Oreochromis niloticus: one gene and its partners. The protein of the gene in region 4 interacts with the protein of the main gene of each other region in a biochemical or structural test. Links are inferred from orthologs where the notes say so. Each region holds a gene or a part of one and is shown on either strand. Other genes may lie near its edges. The genes, in order: jam2a, jam3b, cldn8.1 and tjp1a.

Region 1 (7,692 bases), on a different chromosome or scaffold from region 4:
TTCGGGTCCGATGATTGGCCCGGCCTTTCTAACAGTTTTATTTTCTTTCTCTGAGAGTTTCCTTGGCTGCGTTTGGGAGCATCTTCTCCCTGTAATGTCCACCCTCGTTTCATCTTCATCATCCTGGTAGATGGAAGCAGATTTTAATTTGTCCATTCATCCTTGCTCTAATTATATGAAGGAAGTGCCATATGCTGAAAAGCAGCCCTGCACCATGATGTCCCCACCTTCAAACTTCACTGTTGGCGTGGTGCTTTTGGGGTGACATGCAGTGCCTTTGGACTTCTGTGGTTTGATTTCTTTGTGTGTGTGGATTGCACCTTTAGAAATATATTTACTTAGAAAATAGGTGACATGTTCAATACTAAAACCCGCTGTACAGCTAGACAACAGAGAGAGAGAGACTTCGGTTATCTAAATGGACTTGTTGAGGTTCATTCGCTGGGATTACCCGAATGTTTTTCTTTTAAAACACATACTTTTTGGTTATTTATGTGTTGCATCCATGCTTCTAGCTCTTCTAAAGATTGCCTCAGAAGGCTCATAAAGCCTCTGAATCTTGCACTGATGTCAAATTGTCTGGCCTTTTTGACGGGCGTAATTTGTTACATCATTAAGTTGAAAGATTAGTGTTATTTGGTCCACCCCCAGTATGTGCCAGCCTACAGACTCTCCAGGAACAGGTTTATAAAAACAGCGAGACGTGGGCGGATGCGTTTTGTGAGCCGGCTGCAGGCAGTAGGGAGGCCTGTCCCCTGTCTGCCTCCAGCTGGCGCTCCAAAACACCACCGCCCACACTGCAAAGAGATTCTTCCAAATTTCCCCCCACGGTGGGCATCATGCCCCCACAACCCACTACCACCACTACAGAAGCTTTCTTTTTTAAAATATATGCAAAAAGATATTTTAGCCTATTTCTAATGAAAGTAGGATGGAGAGGGGATGCAACGGTCTTGGAAGTAGATCAATTTTAGTTTCTCTTCTCTCTGTTTTCACATTTTTGTTTTCTACACAGGTGGATGTGCCGGGTCCTGAAGTAGCAGCTCCACCATCTCCTCCCAACTCACCTCAACTTCCAGCCAGCCACTAACCACCTCTGTAACCCTCCACGTAAACACTTTAACTGATTTGATCATTTGTTCAATAAATGTATAAAAATATGTGAGAAATCTCTTGCATCTATTTATTTTCTTATTCAATATTGCTGCAAATTGAAACAAATGGCAGTATTGTTGCGCAAAATGCAGCAGCCTTTGTATTCGGCGTGATTAACAGTCATGATTGTGGGTGCGTTTGTTCTTGTATCAGGAGTTTTGCTTAACAACAAAAGCCGTGTGCGTGCATGTGTACATGTGTAAATTGGCCAGAGGTCAGGCAACAGTGCATCTGTTGCGTCTATCACTTGGCAAACAGGTGGCTCTCAATCCTCTGAGTGCGTTTGGCATGTGTGAGCAAGCCTGAGGATTTGAGTCATGAGGCAGCATCGTTTCCCTTTTTTTTCTTCTTCTTCCTTGATTCGTGGTAAATTGACACGGTCGACAACAACACTGAGATTTATGCAAGAGCTACATCATCGTTTTTTGAGAAGTTGCAATTGTAGCCTGAAATCTAGGGTCTTCGATACTTTAAAGTAAAAACATTCCTTTATATGCTTTAAAATTAAAAGAATCTGCAATGAAACATTCTGTCTGTTAAATTTGCTACACATAGCTGTAAATAAATTATCAATAAAATTGCAAAATAGGGGAAAAAAACTGAATAAACAAAATTGACATTTTTCACAGAAAGTTTGGTGTTTATAACGTAAACTGCAAATATTAGTAAGCTGTCAAAACACAGTTAACAATTATAATTAGTGTAATTTCACAGACTGTGTATTTTATAATTGTGCTGTTTATTTTAAAATAAACCATAAAACTGTGACGTTATGGAGAAGGAATAATAAAAATTCTGTAAAGATTTATTCTTAAGGCATGCATAAGTTTAATGAGATTGAACAATAAATGTTAATTGGCTGTGAAATTACAGACTTGGATCATTCAATATAATTTTACAAAACTACTAAACTCTTCCATAAACAGAATAGTCTAGTCATGTAAGACCAAACAAACAGTATTTTTGTAATAATTTCATTTTTTGTAACGTAAAAATAGGTTAAATCAGGAAAGTGATGCAACCAATCAGATTCTTTTGTTTTAGTTTTGATTAGAAACAAGGTGTAAGGGGCGGGCACTTGCAGATCAATAACTGTCAAATCTGAAGGATGCTTGACGGACTTTACACAGAGGGACACTTACAAGGGGACAGTGTGGAAAAAGTTCAAACAGATAGCCAGCAACATGGAAAATTTTAATGGGTGGAAAATGGACGGTTTATAGATTGAACCAGATGTAAATGAAAAGCACTGTGGGCGTGGCAACCTTCTAAAATTGTCTTCTTACTACATAATAAACCTGACTGGTAACTGTAGCAATTTTAAGCTTGGTTGATTTTATTGTAGCAGTATTTTATCGTATTATTAGATATTTGTTTATCATTTTTGCACATTTAAATGCAATTTTAAAAAAATACTGTGTAAACTTAAAGCTACAGAACTAGTTTCCAAAACGAGAAAATTTCCATGTTTAATTAAAATGTCTTTATTTTTCCGTGATCGTAAAGCTCCGTTATTTCACTGTGTTTTTCTGGCACACCAGATGCTGCACTATTACTGTAGGTGGCTGGAGGGTGGGGGGGTTGTTTTGGTTTGTTTGTGTTTTTTTACAGTGTACACAATCTTGTTTAACATCTGTTTATTGATTCGTTCTGGTAAAGTTCCCATATTTGGGATACATAAAGTATGTCTTATGTTTAATGGCTTCCAGTGACAAGGAAAATTGATCCCTTCTTTGGGTGTCTTTAGATCATTTGAGATTAAAAGTGAATGCCAGGAACCATAAAACAGAAAAAACGCCCATTTCTGGTCAAATTATTATGTTTGTTTCTCAGTAACATTGAACTTTTCCCAAATTGGATCCAGGAAACAATGTAAGATTGCGCAAAGTCTCTGGCCAGAAAAGCTCCAAACTATGCAGCTGTTGTCCCATCTCAAGCATCCTGCTGCTTCTCCCCCACCCCCCCACCCAAAAACACCCTGACAGTGTGTGAGACACACCCAAACACACATGCCTCAGACTCAGTCCCAGTTGAGATGTTTGACTCGGTGCCCTGATGCCCTGAATTCCCCTTTCCTGCAGCACTTTAGAGGTGTTTAGGAACTGGTGCTGCTCAGATGATTAAAATTGAATAACTACAAAAATACTGTGGAATGATGCATTCTGACAAATGAATTTATGTCCTTCTGTTCTCCATTTGTTCAAAAGGTCTCTAATGCAATCTGCGTGCCTCGCTGAATCTCTTGAGTAATTGTTGAGGAATCAATGCTCTGCTGATGAACAGTAATAACCCGTCTTTCTCTGGATATAATCAGCATTCAGCTTTCTATAGAGGAAAAAAACTATTGTCATGCATTTCAGGTTTAATGAGAATTACTTTGCTTAAATAAGCTTTTGATTGCACCATACTTTAAATGTCAGTGCTTTTTTTTCCCTGTTAAACACTCGTTATTCTTTAAATCCATCCTATACAAAATTACAAAATTGTTCTTAAAAAGATCTTGAGCGAAAGCGTAATCGGGCAGGATCACTTTCAGAACCGCTTACAACGAGACCTCATATGAAATCCAAGTGAAATCATGAGCTCATTCTCACAAAACATAAGGGAGGATTTTCAGAGTTGACGAATGAATAACTTGAAAGAAAATTCTTTGCCCAACAACTCACATGTTTTCTGTTATGGTGGAAAAGCTGAAATACATTTACTGTTTTTCAACCTTGAAGGTGCCCGGCACAGTTTTAATGACGCCACCCTTCTGCTCTTTAAACCCAAATTAGTCACAATACTAAGAGCTCATGTTTACAAGATAAATGCCACTCTGAATTTAAGTGGACCGGACCAGTGAAACTACATGATAAATGTGTAAAATTGGAGAAAAAAAAGTTCTTGTAGGTCAGAATATAAAGTTTTAATCAATTTACAGAAAATATTGGGGTTTGTTTTTGTTTTTGTACTGTGGACATACGGTGTAGTATGGTGATAATCATTAAGAAAAGCTAGCTGTAAAGTCTACAGTTCAAAATCTACACGCAATGTTTGTCAGGTGGGCCAAATTGGAGTCTTTGCTGGGCCTATTCTGGCTCCCGGGCCTTATGTTCGGCACCCCCCCTTTCTCAAAAACGCAAACGATTTCAGGTCTTTACAGTTCTTTTAACTCTTAATTCTTAGTGTTGCATCTCAGTGTTTGTCCTCTGTTCCAACAAATCGCCTGTTTCATGATTACTGAAACCAAAGAGATTTTTCATCAAAACTGTTTAAATACTCCGTAATGATTCTGACTGTTTCTAACAAACTTGACTGCAACATCGAAGAAAGAAACTGTAATATGTGTGTTTCTACGTGGAGTGGGCCTCAAAGTTCAGCATAACTCGCGGGTCTCCCTCGGGGTTCTGTATTAAGGGGGCCACACCTTTGCTGCCACCCCACCGCTATGCTATGTGGCCACTTGGCAGTGCAGTGCGCGTCTTGGACACGGCGCTGCGCTCTCGGCGCTCCGCCGCTCTGCTCATCAGAGCTCACTCCGCCCTCCCTCCCTCTCTCCCTCCACCTCAATCTCAACCAGCCGCCCAGCGAGAACAGAGAGCATCCATTCGCGTCTCTCTGACAGTGACAGAGGCTGCTCGCCATTGCTCACCGCACTTTTCAGCCGGGACGTCGATCTCGCTGACTGCTCCGCGCAGAAGTTGCGACTTCACGCTCGTCTGTTTCTCGTGCCAGGAGCTGAGCGCCGGGTCGGTCCGGTTGCTTGACACACACGCACACGCGCGCACAGACACCCTCCCCGGAGATCAGTTTATTCCCTGGATGCTGGGTGAATTATCCGGGAGTTGCGAACAAGTGAACAACAAAGCCGAGGCTCGGGATCTGCCTCCTCGCTCCGTCCTCCGAAGACGAGACTCCAGCCAGAGTTGGGGACGATAATGATGTGGACGTCCCTGTATCTTCCTGTTGTGATTTTACTGATGCAATGTAAGTGGAAAATGGAAAGTGTTCATTCGAAGAAGTTGCTCTTACAGTGTTCCCTTTTATTTACTTTTCAGGACGAGGGAGAAACCATTACGAATCATTAAGAAAACCGATTCTTTAAAAGGTGCTTGAAAGCCTAGATGTTTATCTTGTGGGGAAATTCTACTGATTTTCACTGAAGTCATAATACAGCGTTGGTCTGTTTTCTATAAACATGATTTGGAAGATGAATATATGGAGGAATTTTTCATTTCACGTTTTTTCTTTTTTGGATTCACGTAATTGTTGATTTGCAAGCGCCCCCCCGGTTTAGTTGAACCCCCTCCGATAGAGTGGGCCGTGGTGACGGTGCAGCCAGGCTGGGTTCCTACAAGCTGGCCCCAAAGTTGTATTGGCCTGGTGCCACTTAAGGGTGTGGGTGTTATGTTGGTGGCGGGTGGGTACCCATTTTTGGCAGAATAAGCCACAGATCTGCGCGTGAGGTCAGCGTTTGGATTTCTACCAGAAACTTCAAGCTGGTTTTCACCGTGACACGGAGTTTGTTTGTTTCTTCAGGGGCGGTGGGAGGGAAGAAATTGGGAACACAAAAAGTTACACTTTTAAATGTATTTTAAGGCGAAAATAACAAGAAAACATCTCAAGTGGGCTGATTATCCTGCACGGAGACGCAGGAAGGAAGAGTGCTGTTTGGGGCTTGAGCGTGAGATGGATGTGATGAGACAGTAAGAGTGAGTCACTCACATTTTACTCACATTTCGCCACCTGTCAGGACACCGGGTCAGAGTTCACAGAGCTGTGTGTTTTCAGTCCCGCTGTGATAGAAATCACTCGTCATGTGGCTCAATTGATGGATGTCAGCAGGTGAGAAGAGCACCATTGAGATCCCCCTCCCCCCTCAGCTCCACTGCTACTTGTACAGTGCATTGTTTAAAAAGGAAAAAAGAAACAAAAGAAGTAGAAGAGGAAATGTTTTGGGTGGGTCTCTGGCAAGTGATCCCGAAGCTTCCATATCACCTCTTCTCTCTCTCACTCTATCTCTATCTCCCTCTCTCTCACACACACACACACACACACACTCACAAACAGTTTAAGTAATACCCCCAACCTCACCCTCTCGCACACATATATCCACACATCAACTCCCTCATATCAACCTCTCTCTCTCAGACACACACACTCTCTCATGCTGTGTCTGTCTGAGACAGCTGTTGCTCACAGTCTTACAGTCATACACAGACTGGCTTTGTTCAAATGGAGAACACACACACACACACACACACACACACACACATGCCCGCACAGTCAGTCGTCATCCTGTTTTCCTGCGCACTCCCCCTCCACAGCCTTGAAATGTGTTTGCCCTCCACGTTCATGTTATCTACATCACGCAGGCAGACAGGATATTTCCTATGGGTCCATCTCCCTCCCTCTTTCATTTGTTCTCTGTTAATTTGAATAAGTGCCTTAATTATTACTGCGCCATGCTTTTGACCTCGGCACAGCCCTGGCAACACCCGCCTCAGTCTCTGTAATACTCAGAACGGACCGCGTAATGAGAGTAAAGCTGAGTGCCAAGGAGTGAGCGTGCCATCCTTCTATTTTTTGCTCAGGGAAGAGGGTGGCTGTCCCTCCTGTGAGTTTAAGCAGTAGCACTGTTTGATTGATGTTAATGCCATGCACGACATCCGTGTGTGTGTCTGTGTGTGTTTTAGTCTTTTTCCTTCCTGTGTTGGTGCTATTGTTAGTCTTTCCCGTGCTTCAGAACCACCACAGGCCCACAGAAGCAGCATTTTAATTACCGCTGTGGCCAAATCCGATGCTATATTGGAGAATCACCAGAGACCTGCTGCTGTGGTACTTATTATAATAATCTTTTTCATCTGGCAAATCTAGTGCAACGCTGCAGCCCCTCATTAGGCCATTTTGCTGTTCACTTGACCAAAGTAGTTGAAGTCCACCTGGATTGGTGGAAAAAGTGTAAAATGGAGTTGATTTTCAACCCCTAGTGGTCCATACTTATGTACTGTGTAACTATGTATGACGACACTGAGTAGTTAGGATACTCAGCACTCGGTGCCGGTAATAGTCCTGCTAACTGGAAATGATGTTAACCCAAATCAGTCTGCTCTGTCTGATGATTGTTTTGTACTCATCTATCAGGGCTGCGTGCATTAGCTCCTATGGATGTTCCAGTTTTTGGCCAACAATCAAGGTCAATCCTGGAAGGCGATACAAATCTCTTTGTGACTCGGTCAGGAAAGGCGGTGTAAAAATCAGCCAAATGAAAACATGTGGTGCACTCTGAGAACCTCCGCTGACTAACGGAACAATTTGGAGATGTTTTGTATGTCTTATAAGATTACGCTGTCCGTTTGGATGCAAATGCCAGTCATTGTTTAAAGCAGACCTAATTAAGTCCCAGCTCTTTAACTTTTATTCTTGGACTCTACTGCACTGGCTTTGCATGGATCACAATTCAAGATGATCCTTATTTAGCCTTGCTGTAGCACAAACAGCAGCTGCCAGGACTCAAAAATTAACATAACATCTAGATGAGCAAAAGTCTGTCCC
Region 2 (7,585 bases), on a different chromosome or scaffold from region 4:
ACAACAACATCAATAGATGACAGCTAATATCGAAGCTGGAAAGTGCAACTGGACTAAATGATGCCCAGCCACACACGATGACAGATGCTGAGCTAAGGATGAGGATTGTGGCCAGAGTGAAGGTGGCTCATCTCAGAGGAGATGCTTGCAGATGTGAACATTGCTCTAAGCACCATCACCGCTACCAGTATCAGTGAAACTACTCACATATGCTACTGCCACACTAATCCTAGAATCATTTGGGTATGATCAAAGATTTGAGTAAAGCAAACCCCCTATGGAGAAGAAGGCTGGAATCCAAAATCAGGGAAGCTTGGAAGGATGTTAACTACGGTGCAGAAGGTGAGCTTAATGAAAAAGAGGTACAACAAGATATTCATAAGTGAGGCTTTAGAAATTGCCAAACAAAGGCTCACAGTTGTGATCATTAGGCTCAAGGTATATAACACGGAAGCAAATAATAAAATAAAAAGAATTAAATTAAATTAAATTAAATTAAATTAAATTAAATTAAATTAAATTAAATTAAATTAAATTAATAAATTCCATGGTCTACAATGATATGTCCAGAGTGTCCTCTCAGCTACGAGGGGAATAATCGTACAAAGGCAGACCCACCCGAAGCTGAAACTGAGTAATATTGGAATAACATCCAGGAGAAAGAGGGAGAAATATCTGATAGAAATGCAAAGTGGCTGATGGACCTAAGCGTAGACCACAGCAACTTCCCAGACCAAGAGCCAGTCAATATCTCAATGAGTCTTTGGAATCGAGAGCTGGACAGCACACGGACCTGGCTGGAGAAATTCACAGCACACCATGATTGCCTGACAATGCAGGACAATTTTGATCATTAAGAATCCTTGCAAGGGTACAATATCATCAAACTACTAGCTGATTACCTGCCTCGGCACAATATGGAAGCTCCTCTCAGGCATCACAGCAACTAAACTGAGTATGTGCATGTGACCTAATACATGGGTACAGCTCAGAATTACATTGGAAATAATACCAGAGGGCCAAAGCAAAAACTCCTGGTTGACAGAGCAGGTTGATAGACTCCAAGGCCAGGCAGACCAACCTGAACAGCACTGGCATTGACTACAAGAAAAACTTGAAACTCAATGCCCCACATGTGGATACTGGTGTGCTAATAACATTCATCAGGGACTTACTGGGACTGTGGAAGACAACACACAAATCACCATCAATTGTGTGCTATACCAAGGTGACGTACTGTCCCTGTTGCTGTTCCGCATAGACATTAACCCCCCAAGTCCGCTCACTACCAAGAGTTGATATGAATTCAGGAGTGAAGTGGTCATCAGCAACCTCCTGTACAAGGCGAACATCAAACTGTAGGCCGAGACTAAATAAAATATTCAAATCTGATCCACCTAACCTCAGGATGTCATTTGAACTGGATAAGTACAGGGAGTGCAGAATTATTAGGCAAATGAGTATTTTGTCCACATCATCCTCTTCATGCATGTTGTCTTACTCCAAGCTGTATAGGCTCTGTAATGAGAAGGGGTGTGGTCTAATGACATCAACACCCTATATCAGGTGTGCATAATTATTAGGCAACTTCCTTTCCTTTGGCAAAATGGGTCAAAAGAAGGACTTGACAGGCTCAGAAAAGTCAAAAATAGTGAGATATCTTGCAGAGGGATGCAGCAGTCTTAAAATTGCAAAGCTTCTGAAGCGTGATCATCGAACAATCAAGCGTTTCATTCAAAATAGTCAACAGGGTCGCAAGAAGCGTGTGGAAAAACCAAGGCGCAAAATAACTGCCCATGAACTGAGAAAAGTCAAGCGTGCAGCTGCCAAGATGCCACTTGCCACCAGTTTGGCCATATTTCAGAGCTGCAACATCACTGGAGTGCCCAGAAGCACAAGGTGTGCAATACTCAGAGACATGGCCAAGGTAAGAAAGGCTGAAAGACGACCACCATTGAACAAGACACACAAGCTGAAACGTCAAGACTGGGCCAAGAAATATCTCAAGACTGATTTTTCTAAGGTTTTATGGACTGATGAAATGAGAGTGAGTCTTGATGGGCCAGATGGATGGGCCCGTGGCTGGAGTGGTAAAGGGCAGAGAGCTCCAGTCCGACTCAGACGCCAGCAAGGTGGAGGTGGAGTACTGGTTTGGGCTGGTATCATCAAAGATGAGCTTGTGGGGCCTTTTCGGGTTGAGGATGGAGTCAAGCTCAACTCCCAGTCCTACTGCCAGTTTCTGGAAGACACCTTCTTCAAGCAGTGGTACAGGAAGAAGTCTGCATCCTTCAAGAAAAACGTGATTTTCATGCAGGACAATGCTCCATCACACGCGTCCAAGTACTCCACAGCGTGGCTGGCAAGAAAGGGTATAAAAGAAGAAAAACTAATGACATGGCCTCCTTGTTCACCTGATCTGAACCCCATTGAGAACCTGTGGTCCATCATCAAATGTGAGATTTACAAGGAGGGAAAACAGTACACCTCTCTGAACAGTGTCTGGGAGGCTGTGGTTGCTGCTGCACGCAATGTTGATGGTGAACAGATCAAAACACTGACAGAATCCATGGATGGCAGGCTTTTGAGTGTCCTTGCAAAGAAAGGTGGCTATATTGGTCGCTGATTTGTTTTTGTTTTGTTTTTGAATGTCAGAAATGTATATTTGTGAATGTGGAGATGTTATATTGGTTTCACTTGTAAAAATAAATAATTGAAATGGGTATATATTTGTTTTTTGTTAAGTTGCCTAATAATTATGCACAGTAATAGTCACCTGCACACACAGATATCCCCCTAAAATAGCTCAAACTAAAAACAAACTAAAAACTACTTCCAAAAACATTCAGCTTTGATATTAATGAGTTTTTTGGGTTCATTGAGAACATGGTTGTTGTTCAATAATAAAATTATTCCTCAAAAATACAACTTGCCTAATAATTCTGCACTCCCTGTATGAGCTAAGGAGAGGACGGGAGCTCATTGTCCAGTCATTTGGACTGGATAAGGAATGCTTGCAGGTGGAGCTACAAGAAGGCAGAATAGCACATATACAGGAAAGCTAAAAACTAGCTGAGTGTTGCCAAACGGGAAGTCCAACTGAAGTCCAGCACCCTGAGGCTCTATGACGAATTGAAAAAGGAAGTTTATGTTGACTAAAAGAAAAAGTGGGGACAAATAGCCAAATGATATCATATTGGATATTGCAGGATGACTCTGAGAAGATTGAGTTTTCAAACTAAATAAATAATAAAAACAAAACCTGGAACAAAAGAGATAAGCTCTATGTCATCTTGTCAACAACAAGCATAATCTCATTTCTGATTTTTATTTTTTATTTTTCATTTTATGTTAAAATTTAGGCAAGGCAAGATTTTAGATTTTCATCTCATACATCATAATTGAAGTTCCCAAACGGTATTGAAGATGCACATTAAAGTAAAGTATTTATATGCACATTATAGATTGATATTTATGTCTTATTAGTACTTTGTAATCTTGGTGTTAGGAGGGTTTGTACATATTATTTGTTATTTCCCTTAGTCTACAAACACTGCTTATGGAACGCTGAGAAGCTTTGATTGCCCCTTTTTTGAAAATCAAGTTTCAGTGCTACATCATCACAGATTCCAAATACAAACCTAGAGAGCAGAGCCTGAACACAAGAGTGTGGTTGAAACAGCTACACCTGATTCATACCACAATATTGCCTGAATTACAGATTTTGATGTTATGTAATACAATTCAAATGCATTCTAGCATTATTAGACATACTTCTATAATTAGATATAACTGCTGCAGTAATGATGTACACAGTGAGCACTGTGCTTATTTTAAACGAGGCTTTTATGAGATCCATTACTGGCAAATGTTGGTTGATCCTGTCAAAGACAAAAGCAGCTTAAAGTATATGAGATTATTTTTGCTGTTGTGAAACAGTTTGAAGGAACCGGAACAGTTCGTATAGCATTTTTCAGGCTGCACCAGTTGTCATCACAGACATGACATACAAGACTGGGGTTGCTCTTTCATGTGAACAAGGTAATACGGCAGCTGTCAATGGGATGACAGTTGCAAGCAGGTATGAGCAGGACTGGCCAGGTAAAGTTAATATTTAATTAAAGCCGGCCGTATGCTACTGGTCACAGTAACAGAGTGTCAAGCTCAGCTTTTCACACATGATAGATTCTTCTAGAACTGAAAGAGTACTTGTAGATTCATGTTTTATTACAATCCTTTAATTTCTGTGAATGTGTGTTTTTTGTAGTAATATTACCCCATTTTTAATGTTGTCAAGGAAACTCCAGATATTATTATTTTCTTAGTCAAAATGCTGTAAACAACAATACAGTACACAAAAGGCTGGGGCTATTTATCTGCAACTGCAGATAAGTAACTATAACTACAGCATAAGCCACAGTAGCGAGGGCCTCCCACATTGTGTCAACTATAAATTCTTGTCTGTGTGAGTGATGCTTTCGGTAGCTATGGAAACCTAATATAATAGACCCCCCCCTCCTCCTCCTCCCTGGCGCGCTCTCTCGCTCTCTTTCTCTCTCCGGTTTATCTCCATGTCTCTCTCCCTCTCTCCATCCCCAGCAAGGCTCTTCAGTCTACTTTGCGCATGTACAGACAGCCAAATAGAGCATTGCATCGACTCCAAGATGGCGAAAACACGTCTGGCCTGGCTCTTGACTCTCCTCTCAACTCAGTGTAAGTACAAAAATTATTTTAACCGGCTGCTACTTTGTCTTTTATCCGCTCGAGGAAGGTGACCGCCAAATGCCATCCACTTCTACATCTGTTTGGTCGATTTTTCTTTTACACCAACAGTAAGTGGAAAAGAGAGTGCCTCAGAAGTAACCGTGTAGACTCAACTAACGTTAAACTTAAACCAGACTGACAGCGAGTTCGGTCCCTTCGACGTGAAGTAAATATAGTTAATGAAGTGACCAAAATAGTCGCCATTTTTAACTTAATGTCAACGCGAGTCTGGCAAATGCACGGCTGGAGTGATTGTTTGAAGCGTTCATTGTTACTGAAAAACATCGCTCAGACTACTCTCAACTATTGATTTTATTGGAATACTGCCGCCGTTAAGAGGAGTGACAGATATCTACATGTAACTACACATGAGGAAAGCAGGGCTGTCTGAGCTGAACGTTCAGATCCTCAGTTTAGCGGCACATTTGGAGTCGCTAAGCCGACACGTTTTCTGTGTGCGCGTGTCCTGCCTCTGAAAAAGTTTCTCTACAGCATGAAGACAAACTTTTCGTTGGGAAATTAAACATGAATTAAGGCGGTTTCGTAGCTCGTGCCGTTAACTATTTAACGCGGGTTTGAAGCTGCGGTGATGATGTTGGAAGTACTGACGCGAGATAACGGATTTTTCCTACAGCGGAATAAAAGCAGGCTGACCGCGGGAGGAGCCAGGCAGACCAGCAAAGCGTCCTCCACCCCCCTCCTCATCATCCTTCTCCTCCACTCCAACGCTTTTAAACCGCGACACGGCTGGTGAACCGACACAGCCGAAATAAAATAAATTCTTTTTATGCTAACCGTATCCACCTGAAAGTCCTCATAACTTTATCAGTCCGGTACCTAGAACAGAAATACAGACACCTGTAAGAGCGGAGCGATTTGTTTAAATATTCATGCGGGAGCTCCCAGTTCCTTTACACGTTCCTCACACGGTTTGACGATATTGGTCATAAGACAAATAAGTCATATTCATTCATATGATTTGACATAAATTTAAAATTTATTATTTCCTCAGAGCCGTGGGGAAGGACCTTGAAGTTGAGGGTGCTGCTGTAGACGAAAGGTTTTTTACGCTTGCGTGGTGGTGGTTTTGGGGGGGGGGTACTAGACTACCAACTGTTAGTATACTTCATACACATTTTTATTTAACAAGTCTGAGTCTGATTTTCAATAAATACACCACTCATCTAATGCAATTGGAAACTTAATTAAACATATTTGTCTTCCAACTATCAGACCCTGAAGCACAAAGCAGACAAGAATAAACCAAAACAAAGATGAACAGATCCAGCAGTCCGTTCTGCACAGCCAGAAAAACAAATTTTAAACATCCTGAAAGGACAATAATAAATCCTCTGCTCCGTGAAAAGATTCACACACCAATGAGCAAAGTCATTATGAAGCTAGAAAATGGTAGGCCAGTCTCTGAGGTTCGGTTTGATTTAAAGTTACTGTTCAAAAATGTCTAGTGGGAAAAAAGTTTGATGGCTGAAACGGCTCCTTCGATGCAGATAACATGTTAAACCCACTGCCAGTGGAAGTATCCTTGCACGGTAGTGGTGTGTGATACCAAATAAATACAGGGTAGAGCTGGGCGATATAAGATTTTTTCATTTCACGATATGTTTCTTTCATTTCAGGCGATAACGATATATATCACAATATAAGCCAGATAACTATATTTGTAAGATTTAAATGTGCCGTTGCTCACAAGTAAAATGTGAAATAATTAGCAGCTTGTTTTAATTAAAATATTTATTTCCCATAATAAGTTCAACAGATGTACTTAAGGAACATGAGACTTCAGTTTCAGATAAATAAAGGCAAATATTGCAAACTACACAAAAGGCAAGTTTCAAAATAGAACAAACAAAACAGACCACTAAATTGTCAATTCCACTTAGAAACAAAATATTAATTCTAAAAATAAATCTTAGGTCGTTTTACAGAAGAACAGACAAAATTGACTAACTTTTGTCAATATCAAATAAACTGAGAACTAAAAGGAAATTCTCAATCTCTCCTTGTTGTATAGCTTAGCTTTTCAAACAGTTTTAACAGTTACTTTAGTCTGACAAAAGCCGAATGACGAATTAGCGCTTTCAGTCAGAGATTGAGCATGCACCGCTTTATTGTATTTCCAGACTTGCTTTCGGCACAATTTACAGTGCGCGCTACTCTGTTTTTTGTCAGACTTGAAATAGCCGAAATACCTTCACACTACGGAACTTCTGTGGCCCTTCCGTTCGACAATCTCTCCGGCATTGGAACCATCATCTGTTTTTTCTTCGGTAACCTTCGCTCACGCTCTCGGTTGATTTTTCTCTAATCGGCAAACTCCTTTCCTTCATTACCCGGGCAGCCCGGCTGCAAAAACAAATACACATGTGCGCCTTGGCACTTGTGCTGTACGTAACAAGTCACATGACGTGACGCTGTGGCTGTGATTGGTTCGGCTCTGCGCTACTTAATTTGGATTGGCTGTTCTTTTTTTTTTTTTTTAAGAGGACAAGAGAGATGAGGCCTATCGCAATAGTTTAATTTTTCTATCGAGAAAAAGTTATTTCGCAATACATATCGTTATCGTTCTATCGCCCAGCTCTAATACAGGGCCAGTATTGCCAGTACCAATACTGATACCAGTGCTTTTAACTTATAAAGGCAGCTTATGAAGGGAAGAGCAGTGTGTAATGATTTATAAGATGAATCATTATCGACTAATAAATCACTGATTTTTAATTTCCACAATAATTAGTTAAAGCAAACAGAACATAACTTTCATGTATTTTGAAATTAGGGTTCTTTGAGACATGGAGTGTAAATGTGC
Region 3 (7,224 bases), on a different chromosome or scaffold from region 4:
GGAGGAGCTCTTGGAGGGCTTGTGGATGGACTGCTACCGACAGGCTAACATCAACATCCAGTGCAAGGTGTATGACTCGATGTTAATTCTCCCACCAGAGCTGCAGGCAGCGAGGGGGCTCATGTGTGTCTCCATAGTCCTGGCTTTCATCTCGTTGTTGCTCACAGGATTCGGGATCCAGAAGAGCAACTGTTGTGGTGACAATTTAAAGAGTAAGAACATCACCTATGCATTAGGAGGGAGTCTGTTTCTACTTTCCTGTTTGACCACACTCATCCCCGTAAGCTGGGTGGCCCATACTGTCATCAGTAACTTCTATAACCCGGAAACGCTGGATGCTAGGAAGCGGGAGCTGGGAGCGTCCCTCTTCATTGGCTGGGCCACTTCTGGTGTTTTGCTAATCACCGGGATCATTGTGCTGTTTAGGTACAGCAAACGCAGTGCAAAGGAAGATCAGCGCTACATTGAAGTATATCATATTGTGAAAAGGAATGAACAGAAGGCGGACAGTGTTGACTTTTCGAGAGCGAAATCTAGTTTTCATTCAAATCAGGAATATGTGTAAATACCTGTACTGCAGTGTACTAATTACATATTAGATGTCTCTCCATATATTTATGAGCAACATGTATTTTATTTGCAATGATATATTTAAATCAATCATGTAATCATGCTCTGTTGTACTATGCGTTTGTCTTGTCTGCACTGTTTGGTTTACAGATGCAGCAAAAATATTTGGGTAATATGCTGTACATGAATAAACAATAGTGCCTGTGTTTAAAGTAATATAATTTTTGGCAAATCTATATTATCACTCTGAGCAACAATACACCGCTTGCAGTGGCTATCGTCAATCAACTTCAATCTTAATCCAGCTCTTGCTCCAATGACCCTGAGAATGTCATCACTGTTTTTAAGTACTTGTTTTGGATGCAAGTCTGTATTTTTTGTATTTATTTAAGTCATTTTTGTTGTGCTTAATGATGAATTTCTCATCTGAGACATGACAAATGCAACTGCTTCACTGTCTTATTTCATTATATTTCATGATCTAATAATCCCGCCAACCAAGTGAACAGATCATTTATTAAAATCTTTAATTCAGTTTGTTTGTGTGATTCAATTCATAGAATTTCTACTTTTTTTGTGGAACGCAAATACTTAACCAACACTCCATTCAGATATTTTTCTTGTACTAAAAACCTAAGGTGGAAAAGTGAAAACAGCCAATGAAGAAGTGCCTCATTTTCACATTGGACAGAGCAGAAACTAAAATGTTTCTGTGGCTGCAACAAGGGAATGACCCTGTGTGATAATGACAAAAGGTCCTCCTCCTCAGGTTTCTGTGTGCAACACCTTTTCATCAGCTCATCTTACGTGTAGAGAAGCAGTGTGTTTCACATCTGTGATCATCCTATAAGCTTTCTGTTTGTGAGATGGCGTCGTTTCCTACGCCCATTAGTGTAGCTGGATGCTACAGTTGTTATATTTGTTTTATTCATTTTTTCAACATTTATAGCAAGTCATTTTTATCTGGCAAATCCTTTCAAATGATAAAACTGGCCACACATTGCATTAGTTAATTTTAAGTTAGCACATGTAATAGTACTGAGATATTACTCGTTATGTTCACAATACATTTTCCTTATGCTAAATGTTTTCTAAAATTACGTCAAGTATTTCCGTGTAGTATTAAAAATATGTTACATACTTTTCATTAACTTTGACTTTTTTGCTTGATTTTATTAAAATATGATGTTGATTAAACCTTGTTGTTACTGTGGTAACAAGATTTAGTGATTTTTAATAACTAAAAACTAGCGACTGATCATTAGTACTGGAGGTATTCAAAACAAGCAACTCCTTTGTGTCTCGCCATTTATCTGATGGCTCTGAAGCAGCTTAACCAGTAAGGCTGCATTGCATCATTAGCATAGTTTTTGTGGGTGTATAAGTTCCTCAACTTGTTGTTCTCCTCAGATTTTTCTCTTCAGCTGTATAAGTGCACCAGGAGGTTGAGATTAAGCTTTCTGTGTTAGCCAGAATGGCCACTTACACTGCTTACAGTGGCTACAGCAAGCCACCTCAATCTTATGTTGGCAGTTACTACGATGGGAAGCCGGCGCTGACAAACGGAGAGTATGGAGAGTATGGGGACTCTGTATATGAGGAAAAGAAGAAAATTGAGAAACGGAAGCGTCGAAATGCTATCTGCTGTGAGGTAGTAGCTCTCATCATTGGCTTCATTGGACTAATTGGCGTTGCAGCTGTGACGGGCCTGCCGATGTGGAAGGTAACAGCCTTTATTGACGCGAACATTATTGTCATGGAGACCCGCTGGGAGGGTTTGTGGATGAACTGCTACAGACAAGCCAACATCAGAATGCAATGTAAAGTGTACGATTCCCTGCTGTTTCTGCCTCCTGATCTCCAGGCTGCCAGGGGTCTGATGTGCAGCTCTGTGGCTCTGACCACCTTCGCCCTTATTGTTTCAGCAGTGGGGATGAAATGCACAAAAGTGGTGGACCATCGGGCTCGTACCAAGCATATTGTTCTTGTGGCTGGTGGCTGCCTGTTCCTCATGGGTTGCCTTACAACCCTAATTCCCGTGTCCTGGACTGGCCATGTCATCATCCAAGATTTTTACAACCCTCTACTGATCGATGCCCAGCGTAGAGAGCTCGGGGAGGCTCTTTATATTGGCTGGGTGACTTCAGCGTTGCTTTTCAGTGCCGGAGTGATCCTGCTTTGCCGCCATGCTCCCCGCACCCAAGATCCAGATGAGATGATTCAATACAACCCCACAGGAAGCCTCTACCAACCCGCATACACCAACCAGCCAGCATACACCTACCAGCCAGCATATGCCTACCAGCCTGCTTACTCTGCAGCCCCACCAGGATCTGTGATATACGCACCAAGTCAATACTAAAGATTTTTGGACTTTTTTTTTTAAAAATAAACTTGCCAAAATTTGGCACATTTGATGAGGAGAACTGATTAACTGTCGTTCACTTGAAACAACCAGATATTTCTTTACTTAGCAAAGTGTACTGCAAATACTCCAAATCATTATGGACTTGAATGTGTTTCAATGCTGACAAACTGTGCTGGATTTCCATATTCCTTGTTTGGGTTTTTTTTTTTGTTTGTTTGTTTTTTTACCCTTTTGCTTAATTCACACTAAATTATGTTCTAGCACAGTATGTATAATCTATTACATCTGTTAATGTTACAACAATTGTATGTTGATATTGCGTTCTTTACAGTTTCTGACCTACTCAAAATTCTGGCCAAATTTGTTTTTTTCCTAATAAAGTACATGGCTTGTAAAAGAGAATCGTGTTGTATTTTTTCCCCCCAATCTCTAACACAACAGGACATAGCTGATCAAGAAGTTAAAGGTGCGTTATAATGTAAGCACTGTTAGTGATGCCAAATGAGCTTAAATTTGTTGTAAATTTCCAAAACCTCAAACTGAAACTGCACTTTCTTCACTCACTAGTGAGCAAATGGAAATATATGTCATTTCTATTGTAGTGGTGGAAATGTGCCTAAACTGGTTAAACCAGGCTGTTTACACAGATCCACCCACTGTACAAACCTACCAGGTGACTTTACTTCAACCAAACAGGAATTGGTTGCTTTTTTTTCCCTGAGAGCAGAGTCACACAAGAGACCCAGACAAGAAATCCAGTACTGAGTCATACATTTCTAACATTTGACACCCTTAAAGCAAACCAAAATATAGAAGAATATTAAAAAAAAAATACAAATGCACACACACACACACACACACACACACACACACACACACACACACGTACAAATTGTTTCCTTTTCACGGTACTTCTAAAATGTACTTATCAAATGTACAAAAAAAATGTTGAATATTTATCATAATTTGCCATACTTTGTTCTTTTTTTTCCCGCCGTTCTACTACTTCTCATATTCTGTTAAAACTGCACATCTCTTATATCTTTCATACACACACACAGAGGCAGACTTCCCCTGACTCACTGTTTGTCTTGTCTGCTGTGCGCTCCTGTCTTTAACAGTGTGCGTTACAAAAATGGGGGACAAAGAGTTTTGTCCATTGGTGTTATTTTGCGTCTCCAGTTCCCCTACATGCCCATGGACCATGAGGCCCTCCACAATAGCAGTAAACAATTAAAAATAAAGATTAAGTAATAAACAGGAAGTGAATCAGAACTGATTTTTGATCTGTAACTATAACTGGTAATACATTAACAGAGTATGTTTACCAGTGATACATTTGACGATTCTAAACATGCCCCCATTGTTAAGAAACACCTCATCGTTTTGTCTTCTTTTAAGGCGAAGTCCGAGAATGTAAACTGAGACTTCTGAGTAAACAAACGGGGAGCTGAGAGCAGCTACTGGGTTGCTGTACAAAGAATTAAAGGCCCAAGGGATTCAGTTTCCTAGCAACATGTCACAATTCCCACTACCTCCCATTCTGGTGTTATGTCCACAGGGAGGAGGGTGTACAGGTGAACATGAACCTGCTCCTCCTCCATCGGGATGCAAAGCCACTCCACAGAGAAAACCTACTGCTTCCTACAGCAGTCACACTTTGTCCGCACACTATTGCACTTCTGAGCTCGGATGAGTAAGTGAAGAACAGGATGGCAAACTCAGCACTGGAGATTGTGGGTCTTTTAGTATCCCTAATCGGGCTGATCGGGGCAGCAGCAACTACAGGAATGCCTATGTGGCGCGTCACAGCTTTCATTGGAGACAATATCATTGTGTTTGAGACTCTGTTTGAGGGCTTGTGGATGAATTGCTACCAACAGGCAAGCTTCAGGATGCAGTGTAAAGTGTACGACTCTCTCCTGGCCCTGACTCCTGACCTGCAGGCGGCAAGGGGGCTGATGTGCTGCTCTCTGGCACTGAGTGGTCTTGGTGTGCTGATCAGTCTGATAGGCATGCAGTGCACATCATGCATCCAAAACAATGATCGAGCTAAGCGGCTGGTTCTCATCATTGCTGGTAGCATGATCATATTGGGTTGCTTCTGTGTCCTCATCCCCGTCTCCTGGACGGGTCACGTCATCATCACTAACTTCTACAACCCCTTGCTGATCGATGCCCAGCGGAGAGAGCTTGGAGCAGCTCTCTACATTGGCTGGGTAACTTCGGCTTTCTTGTTTGCTGGAGGATGCATTTTTATTTGCTGTAATATACAGTCGGATGACAAAGATTCAGAGAGGTACCTATACTCCAAGGCCTCAGACTATTCGGTCTACCCTCAACAGCCACTACAGCCTCTACAACCTCAACAACTGATGACGCTTCCCCCCCAACCACGATCTCAGCCAATGCTATCAAGATACCCATCGTCTATCTACAGTTACCAGTCCAGATATCCCTCTGTACACAGTGCACACAGTGGGGTCGCGTTTCTGTGAACACTTATTTTTATTTTTGTTTTTTTAATTGATCGGAAACTATGCATTTCAGGTTTAAGAGAAAATGTGTGTGAACCAATACACCATTTCTACTACATTATGTGTATTAATTAAATTTTATACTAACAGCCTTATATTTTATACAAATGCTTAAAAATTGTGTACATTTATGCTGTATATAACAATTTAATTCAATCTTTAACCACTGAAAATTATTAAAAAGTTGACTTACTCTAAAACATGCACTTTGTTAATGGGACATGTCATCTCTGAAAAACAAGAGTAGTTGTAACTACATTTAAAGCTTAAGAAATATTTTTTGAAATGACTAAACTTTAAACATGAGCTGTGTCTGAGCTGTGCTGCTAAAAAAGAAAAGTTAATCATTACTAATCAGTTTCAACTAGTATTCAAATCAAAAGTAATAACTAAATGATGGCAGGTGTAGAAGTAGTACTAGAAAAGACCAACAAACACATAACGCTTCATGTGTGAAATGAAAAGAAGAAACAGTTTTCATTTTTTCATTACCAGGATTTCACTGGAAAGTAAATGCCATCCATCTAAAATACCTCCAAAACTAGGACGTTTATGGTGTTTGCTTAACCAAAAAAATCCTGAATCTGTTTAAGTTGGCTGGGTAAAGAGGAAATAGTTACACAAAAACAAGATACTGGATTAAGGATACTTGTTTAAGGTGTGGCAGCATAGCCAGATAGTTACAAAAAAAAGCAGAGCGACAACGGCATGATCATATGTTCCAAATTTGCAAGTCACTTTGAATAGAAAACAAAGCAGACTGTGTTAAACATTTCTGTCTCTGTTCAATAGAATACGACTTCTTAATCGAACAGGTTGCTTATTTTCAGTTTTAGTAAGTTCAAATGTAAACTATACAACTTGAACTTCAAAATAAAACAGTAATTTCACTGCTGTTGGGTAACGCAAATATTTGTGACGTAAGGACAATGTAGTGTTTATTGTCGCTTGAGGTTTCACGCAATAATTTCTGAAGCCATGATGAATACATGTTGACAAGTTCTGTACATAATTTAAACTTAGACATTTAAACTGTAAGAGACAGAACAAACTGTATTTGGCCTGTGTTATGTGAGATCCCCCTCATTTCACTATCCTAAAGGTCATCTCTGCTCCCCTGTGGACAATATAAGAACTACATGCTCTGTACTAAACTGTACCACATATTAATGTTTGCTTCTAATTTGTACCACATATAAAGAGTAAGAAAACATGGCAAATAATTAAAATTTAAAAAAAATAGTTGGTGTTGTCTTGTTTTGTATGTACACTGTTGGAGACAGTAACGACTGACCCCTATCACCTGAGAAACATAAACACAAAATAAGCAGACCTCCTCCTACCCTCATCCCTCTAAACCAACCAGGTGAGTGCAGGGCATCTCACCCATAACAAACTGTCTCGTACAGCAAGCAAATGTTATGGATGAGAGCCATTCTAATTCTGGATTTAACCACAACTGAACAATGATTCAAGGTGCTTCAGAGCTAGCTGCAATGTGCGTGGGCTTGGTTGGCTTGATCGGTGCATCGGCTACCACGGGGTTGCCCATGTGGAAGGTGACCGCGTTCATCGGAGAAAACATAATTGTGATGGAAACCCGCTGGGAAGGCTTATGGATGAACTGCTACAGACAAGCCAACATCAGGATGCAATGTAAGGTTTATGACTCCCTGCTGTATCTGCCCCCTGAATTACAGGCTGCCAGGGGTCTGATGTGCTCTGCTGTGGCCTTGTCAGCAGTAGGGC
Region 4 (7,525 bases):
ATCTCTGTACTACAGACTTGAATCGCCCTGCTTTGCCTTTTGCTTCTTCACATCTAAATTTCACACTTCCACTACAGAAAGACATAACTGATTTTCTTCATCACTCCAAAAGTGACAATTTGGCCTCTGGCAGTGTTTTTTTCCTTCTTTGGCTGTCGTTGAAGGGCATGTGAGTACAGGAAACTTCAAAAAGCGGTCTATAATAACAACTGGGGCAGTCCCTGTGAGCTGTACAGACACCACTCAGAGCAGGGAGAGACAGATGACAGGTGAATGATGACACGCATCAGCCATTCGGTGACTAATTTTCTGTGCTTACTCAGACGTAATAATCTGCCGCTGTATGCTCAGCTGATGTGGTCCATGTGTCTGCTCCTGCTGTCTGCTTTTTGGTATGAAAGAGAGGCAGAGCAAGAGTGAGACAGGAGAGCAGTCCAAGGCTACAGATTTAATCTGGCTGCTGTGGTCATGTGATTAATTGTGGCCAGGGGCCAGTGGATAGTGTAATTTATGGCGGTGGGGGGGGGATCAACACATTTGGATGGTTGCTGCTCCTGAGGGAAATCTCACTCTTAACCAAACCAGCATTCTTTTCAATCCCTCTTTAACCCACCATAACATCACATCTGTGGCAGCTGGGTTTGGGGACAGTTAGCCTTGTTTTGTTTTTTTGTCTGTGGCTATATAAGGAGGTGTAGTTTTATGTTTGAGGCCATAAAATGAGTGCAGAAGAAGCTAAGTGAGGCCCAGAGAATCTATTTTAAACTTTTGGGGCTAATGGAGCCAGTAAATTGCGTTTAATACCAGAGATTAAAGGGAATATCGACAGCCTGCTGAGGACCGTGCGTCAGTTTTCGCTGTCCTTTTTGGCTTAAAACCATATCACTGCTGTGGTGACCTCACCCTCCTTCAGACCACTGGCACGCTGGTGTGTGTATGTGTGTACATGTTTATTTAATCCTCTTCCCAACTCCAAGAACTGTAAATAAACATCAGAGGAGTTTCATGAGAGGCTGTGTTCAGTTTTTTGGGGTGAATTTTCTGTTGTTTTCAGAGCTGCCAATATCAAGCAGTGCTGATAACAGCAGTTTCCTCCTGACCTTCCCCACCAGCTGCTCACCAGCTTGCTCCATCCAAAATTTACCTGCCTTTGCATTGGCTTGCTGGTTCCATTGGCTTGCTTTGCATTGGCTTGCTGGTCAAAGATAGAGTTTATATCTACATTTGCTTTTTTCTGGTGCATGGGCCGTCTCAAGGGGACTATGGTTTATACTCAGTCCTTCTCCCATCTTTCATTCTGTTTATTAGTCTGAACAAATATGTAAATACAGGGATAGGGACATGCTGTTTCCCCTCGTGATGCAGCTTCATTATAAAATATGCAGGATGCAATCCAGCTTCATTGCCAAATTCTTTAATGGTAAGTGGTCCTGCCCAAGGGGTTTATGCAGAAGGAGTCTGTGAACTCTCTTTATGGTTACATCATAATCTAAATTATTCGACAGCCCTGGGAAATGCATTTCACTTGTTTGACAGATGTCACGCACACGGGGAGTAACTCCTCCTTAGGTCATGAGCGCACAGCCTCCTCTGCGTCCCCTCGTCTTTCAGGTCTCACTAAAGACTTGTATTTACTGGGCATTTAAATTTGACACCGAATCAATCACTGAATTGATTATCATCTGTAGACACTCTGTGAACTATCAGCACCTAAAGGGTAAGTGTTGGGTCTGTTCCCACAAACCCCGCTAATTCTAGAGACTTATTCATCATGAATGAAAACAAGACAGTCAGCGATCGATCGATTACTTGCGCAAGGGAGGCCTCGTCTATGTCCAGCATGGAAGTGACCCCGATGAGGGCCTCCTCTCGCTGGCTTTTATTGACAAACTTCAAACAATAGTTTACAAAACACCTCCCCTCGCAACCCCCTTTGGTTACAAAGACAAGGCACTGTATGTATATGCATGCAGGTGTGTGTGTGTGTGTGTGTGTCCTCCTGCTGACCAAAGGGTCGTAAACGCAGGAAGCTTACATCAAAGGAAGTAGATCTTCCAGATAGGATGTATCTGCTATAAAACCTCCCCCAACACAAAGTGGTTAGAGGTGCTCAGGATCAAAGGAATAGCTTTGATAATACTGCTTGAACTAAGACTGTACAAATTTAAGAAACACAATGGCAACATTCAACAATTAGACCTAACAGTAAGTAAGTGTAACCTCAGCCTTGCATTTAGTATGGATGGCATTAGGAGGTATAGCATGTATGTTAAAAACAAAACACATTAGTAATCCATCATAATATCTACATTATAATGTTAACTATAATATTCTTTAATCTAGTTATTGGAAAATGTAAAAGAACAATGTATTTATGTGTGTATAATATGCACCATTAGCAAGTATATTAAAATAAATTAAGAGGAGATATATATTTTTTACTTATTACAGTAATGTTGATTGTCCATTTTATTCAGTTGGAGCTGTGTGGTGGTTTAAGATGACCCAAGATTTTAATGCACAGCTCATGCTTCCAAAAAAGACTGGAAACGGAGTAAAATGTCTAAAAAAAATAGCACAATGCAACAGTCTGCAAACCTTTTAAGCTCTATATTTAACTGAAAATATTACAAATACAACATGTTGTTGCTTATTTTGAATTTATTGCCAGTAATATGTTTCAAAAATGGTGGTACAGTGTTTTCTTTCACTGTTTTATCACCTCTTCTGTGAAAAAACAAAAAAAGAACTTGGGAAGTGGAGAGAATAATACTGAAGTATTTAAAGCAAAATGTTTTCCTATTCCAGGCGGACTTACGAGTTCGGCTTTAATAGTGTAGAGCAGGGATGTCAAACACGTTACCACATATGGCCCCCTTTGAGCTTACGAGGGCGGGACCAGTGAAACACCCCTTTTTCTCAGAGTTACCAACTTTACACATTCGATCCCTGAGGTATTTTAATGAAAGAAAAAGACGTACAATTTCAATAGCACATCCCATTTTTTCTACATGATAAAGAAAAATCTGTCAGCATGACTCATTGGGCTTAAATGTGTAAAATGACAGAAAAAGTTCTGGTAGCTCATTGTGTAGACGGCCCTCTAATAATATTTTTTTTAATGTAAACCCATATAAAAAGCACAAATTTCTGTAGCAGACAGTGAAAAACAAACTTTTAGTCATTTAATTGTTTATCTATTACTTAATTAATTTGGTGTAATATGAATGGCTCTGGGACTGTGGGGGTGTGTCCATAATGTATGCTCTCCTTCACATTTTCGAGAGCCACCCAGGGACCCAAATTGGTGTCTTTGGTGGGCCAGTTTTGGCCCCTGGGCCTTATGGTTGACAGCCCTAGTCTAAAGCATCATTTTTTGTATTTTTAATTGCACTGAATAATTTTTACAATTGGTCAACAGACATGATGTTTTAATACATGCAGAGCGTGGTCATTAGTAAACGACATCATTAGTAAATGTTGCGCCACAACTTGTATTAAGCTTTCATGGTGCCTTCACAGATTTGCAACTTACCTCTGCTTCATGGTCAGATGTGCCTCATAAAATGATGGATGCTGGCTTTTGTACTCATTGGTCTCTTTGTCTTTAGTCTGGAAAATATGAGCTCAATGGTTTAAAATAAATTAAAAAACAACATATTTTGACTCCTGCAATTGGAGGACAGTTTTTTTCCACTTTGTGTGAAGCTCAGAAAAGGCAGCTGGTTTCCTGTATCATCTGCATTTATGTTTTTAGTCTTTATATAGGCACAGGAATACAGGAATAGTTCTCCTTTGTAATACATGGGGTTTTTTCATTCTTCATACTTAAAGGTCCAGGTTACCAAATCTGGTCACCTACTTGCCTCCTGATTATTTAATTCCATATGAGCTGATTTGTTCCTCTCCACCTCCACTTTATGATATTTAAATCCACCCCATGCTTTAATTCAGTTTAATGGACCAATCTCGCAGAAAACAAGGTCGAAAACACACCTTCTCAGTTTTACAATCCTGGGATTTCTCTAAGCATCAGTTAGACGACGTCTCCCCCCCCCTCCACACACACACACACACGCACGCACACTAAAGCCATTACATGGCTTCCTCTCTCCTCCTCCCTCCCTCCTCCTGTGTCACTCTCCTGCTCTCTCCCTCTCTGGCTGAACACACGCGCACTCTCTTTCCTACCTCGCAGACGCTTGGGTGCCGTCGCCGCTGCATCCTACCGCTCACTGTTGAACCGCCTCTTTCCCTCGACTCTTTTTCTCCACACAAACAAACCGGCATTTCACGGTTTGGCGGCCGGGAAAGTGTCCGCCATACGAGGCAAACCACAACAATGACCCGGTCCTGACTAAAATTGAATAGATTAGCCAATCTATTCTGAGCTCTAATGAGATTAGAGGGTCAGCGCGGACATGGGTCGCGGCGGCGTGGCACCTTTCCTTGAACTCCTCCGGGAACGTCCTCCCTGTCAGCGGTGCTTCCAGCGTGGAAATGGCGTTTTTGACACCGAGGATGCCGCGGATGACGCGAGGGGACAATAACAGACATTTGAATGCACGCTCACCTGTGCCGCTTTGGTGGCGCGCGGATTCCTAGAAGTAGCAGCACCAGCAGCAGTAGTTGTAGTTGTAGTAAAAGTAGCAGCAGCAGAAGCGGCAGCAGGAGTTGCAGAAGGAGAAGATGAAGTACCAGAAATATATAACGGTGATGCAGATGGCCATGGGAGTGACAGCCTCCAACAAAGACTGCCTCCCCGCAAAGAGACAGCTGTGGTGAGTATGGACAAAGAGGAGGAGGTGCGCGCTTTGGTTCGGAGCGTGTGTTGGTGCGTGTGGAGCGTAGGGGAAAGCAGGTTTGAAATGAACCTCTGGGCTTTGTTGTCTTGTTTGAGAAGCTCCAGTCGCGCTTTTCTGCTATGTCTGCTGTGAAGTTGAAGCTCAGCAGCTGCTGGCGGAAGCGACTGCCTCCATCCGCCTCTGTGACGCTCTGCCTTCAACAACAGTTTGATGTGCGCGCCGGTGACATCGACACCCAGCAGGTATTTAGGCGGGGAGGAGGAGGAGAGGGGTGAACAGTGCGCAATCGCCCCTTCTCCGTGTTCCTCCTGGTGGTCTCTGAGTGTTATGATCCGCTGGTGAGGTTTTCACGAAACAGAGCAGGTGGATTTACAGCAACAGTGAAACGACGCGGACACACACCGCTTTCTTATTTTACCCGCACGCACTCGGCGATTTCAGTTTTCCGAGCAGCTCTCTGGTCTCGCGTCTATTTCTGCGATCACGTGTAGTAGTAAAAAAAACCCAAAAAACGCTCATCTCTTATTTAGCAGCTTCTTGCCACCTGCATTTGTGTAGGAGCGGTGCTTGGTGTTTAACTCTCATTGGTTGATCACGTCTCCGTGCGTTTCCATTTAAATATGTCCACCTAGTTTAATACACGTCCACGTTTGATATCATTTATCCGTCTAAAAATGTTCTCTGGTGTTTCCGGATGAATCAGCAAAACTTAACAAGCAAAAGACTTTTTTAAAATTTATTTTAGAAAGCTGTCTCTACATCTCACCTCTGTTGCAATTAATTCCCCATCGCTTTCCTTCTCTCCAAAAGTTCCCAGGATGCTTTAATACTGTAAGATTTCTTTTTTGAAACAAAACGAAACAAAATCTCTCTTCTCTGCTTCTAGCTTTCACAGCTACATGACAAGATGACAGCAAACTAAGATATTTTGAAGAAATCATGTCAACATTTATAAACTCCAGATATTTTTTTTACATCACAAAACTATTAAAATTTACCTGAACAAAAGTTTGATAATGCTGCACTGAGCTTCTCTTCAAAGATGATTTAAATATGATACCAATGACAAACTGACCTATTTCTTTATGCACTCGATGAATTGATTAGTTGGTGTCAGGGCGCAAGATGCTACTGCCTTAACCTTATTTGGCTTCTGACAACCTGTCAGAGGCTGTTATACTGTGATACACTGTGAATGTGTTTGCACTATAGGGCATAATAAAGGAAACTGTGAAGAACGCTTCTTTTACTAATTGAAATAAGGAGCATTATAAAGAAGAAAAGGAACAAAAAAAGAAAACGTGACACAGCAGAGTGGTGTTCAGTCTAATTATAGGATCTTATCACAATGAGCAGATTCAGTCTTTCTTCTACTGTAATCCACGCAGATAACATTAAGCACCCAGCACAATCCTTACAGATTTGCACTGCTTTACACTGAGAAGACAAACTCTGGTTCCTTGCGTAGGATGTGCAAGGCTTTGAGGGGGTCCATCCTACATGTGGGAGCAAATGGGTCCATTACTTTGAATCAGAAATGATCTCACATGGGAGAAAGGATAGGTTTGCTCCTCTCCAACCACTGTCAAACATGTAGGACAGCGCACAGCGGTGACTTGGTTTTGACACTTCTCCCTTAAGAGAGGCGCAGTGGTATGTCCGGGGCCATCACATCACGGTGGGGGAAGGGACACGGCCATTAAAAGTGGATTACTGTATCGCCTCCGACAGCCACTTTAACGGAGCGTAGCTGAGCCAGCGTGTAGCTGCAGTGTGTGTTTCATGGAGTCACCCTTGGATTCTCTTGCCTGCCATTTCCGTCTTTATTCAGTGAAGTCAGAGTCCAGAGTCAGTAGGCTCACGTGCACACAAGTAACTCGCTTGCTGTGAAGACTGAGCTAATGCTTAAAAATGTAAGGTGTGACTTTAGGTTGGAATACCAAAGCAATGACCCAAGTTTAGGTGATCACTGTGCATCATAGAAGTTTAATCCTGATGTGTTTCAACCGGTGAGCTAATAGCAGTTGACGAGTTGTAGCTTCAACTTCAATCTGTTTTATATAACTGCTTTCATATTTAGAAGTAGTTAGTTTCTTAATTTCAGTCCTCCAGAGGGAAAAATGCATTGCTTTACATTCACTTTACTCTTTGACTCGTGCAACACAAGAAAGGAATTTAAACACCCGAAGAAGCCAGGCTGAACAGTTTGTATCTTCATAACTAAATGAAATGTCAGCGTCTTCTGAAAGGTTGAGTAAGTGGTCTGGTTTCCTTCCATTCATACCACAAGGTTGAGATTGCACAACGCAGAAATAAGCTGCTGCTGGAAGACCTAGCTCATACATGATTTATATCAGACTCACTTGCACTCAGGTAATGGGAGATGTTGTTCCTTAACGAGCGTAAGAACAGGACTGGCTGTGATGTCGCGACCAGAGACAACGAAAATGTCTGAAATTCAGCGAGCTGCAGCGATAACGTCCCAAATAACTGCTGCCAAGATCAAGTAGGCGTGTAGAGCGATTAACTAATCTCAGCATCGAGGTTGGACAGCGACTGCCTCCAGTACTGTCGTGGTTGCGACAGTACTGCAACTGGTTGGAGTAATTTTGACTGTCGTATAATTATTTTGTACAATATTGAGATCACAAATATTTGTCAGGATTCTTCACTGATTTTAGTGGCAAAAATTGTTTTATGTAAGCAGAACTTGCAAAGAT

The links.
Region 1: the proteins of tjp1a (region 4) and jam2a form a complex in vitro, tested with the Homo sapiens proteins (2 studies listed by BioGRID and IntAct, with this or other methods). The link is inferred for Oreochromis niloticus from reciprocal best matches to the Homo sapiens genes TJP1 and JAM2.
Region 2: the proteins of tjp1a (region 4) and jam3b form a complex in vitro, tested with the Homo sapiens proteins (2 studies listed by BioGRID and IntAct, with this or other methods). The link is inferred for Oreochromis niloticus from reciprocal best matches to the Homo sapiens genes TJP1 and JAM3.
Region 3: the proteins of tjp1a (region 4) and cldn8.1 form a complex in vitro, tested with the Homo sapiens proteins (2 studies listed by BioGRID and IntAct, with this or other methods). The link is inferred for Oreochromis niloticus from reciprocal best matches to the Homo sapiens genes TJP1 and CLDN8.

What each region holds. Positions count from the first base shown.
Region 1 is NC_031986.2:11,215,867-11,223,558, reverse strand, and holds the start of jam2a (junctional adhesion molecule 2A), read left to right. Parts: upstream 1-4,687; 5' UTR 4,688-5,075; coding exon 5,076-5,124; intron 5,125-7,692. Other genes in the region: mrpl39 (large ribosomal subunit protein mL39), read left to right, coding at 1,016-1,090. UniProt on the Homo sapiens protein: Junctional adhesion protein that mediates heterotypic cell-cell interactions with its cognate receptor JAM3 to regulate different cellular processes. Plays a role in homing and mobilization of hematopoietic stem and progenitor cells within the bone marrow.
Region 2 is NC_031975.2:3,977,703-3,985,287, reverse strand, and holds the start of jam3b (junctional adhesion molecule 3B), read left to right. Parts: upstream 1-4,568; coding exon 4,569-4,710; intron 4,711-7,585. UniProt on the Homo sapiens protein: Junctional adhesion protein that mediates heterotypic cell-cell interactions with its cognate receptor JAM2 to regulate different cellular processes. Plays a role in homing and mobilization of hematopoietic stem and progenitor cells within the bone marrow.
Region 3 is NC_031979.2:31,204,300-31,211,523, forward strand, and holds cldn8.1 (claudin-8), read left to right. Parts: upstream 1-4,500; 5' UTR 4,501-4,650; coding exon 4,651-5,436; 3' UTR 5,437-6,715; downstream 6,716-7,224. Other genes in the region: claudin-17-like, read left to right, coding at 1-565; cldn8.2 (claudin-8), read left to right, coding at 2,045-2,932; claudin-8-like, read left to right, coding at 6,942-7,224.
Region 4 is NC_031965.2:19,078,087-19,085,611, reverse strand, and holds the start of tjp1a (tight junction protein ZO-1), read left to right. Parts: upstream 1-4,524; 5' UTR 4,525-4,689; coding exon 4,690-4,781; intron 4,782-5,000; exon of another isoform or gene 5,001-5,015; coding exon of another isoform or gene 5,016-5,047; intron 5,048-7,525. UniProt on the Homo sapiens protein: TJP1, TJP2, and TJP3 are closely related scaffolding proteins that link tight junction (TJ) transmembrane proteins such as claudins, junctional adhesion molecules, and occludin to the actin cytoskeleton.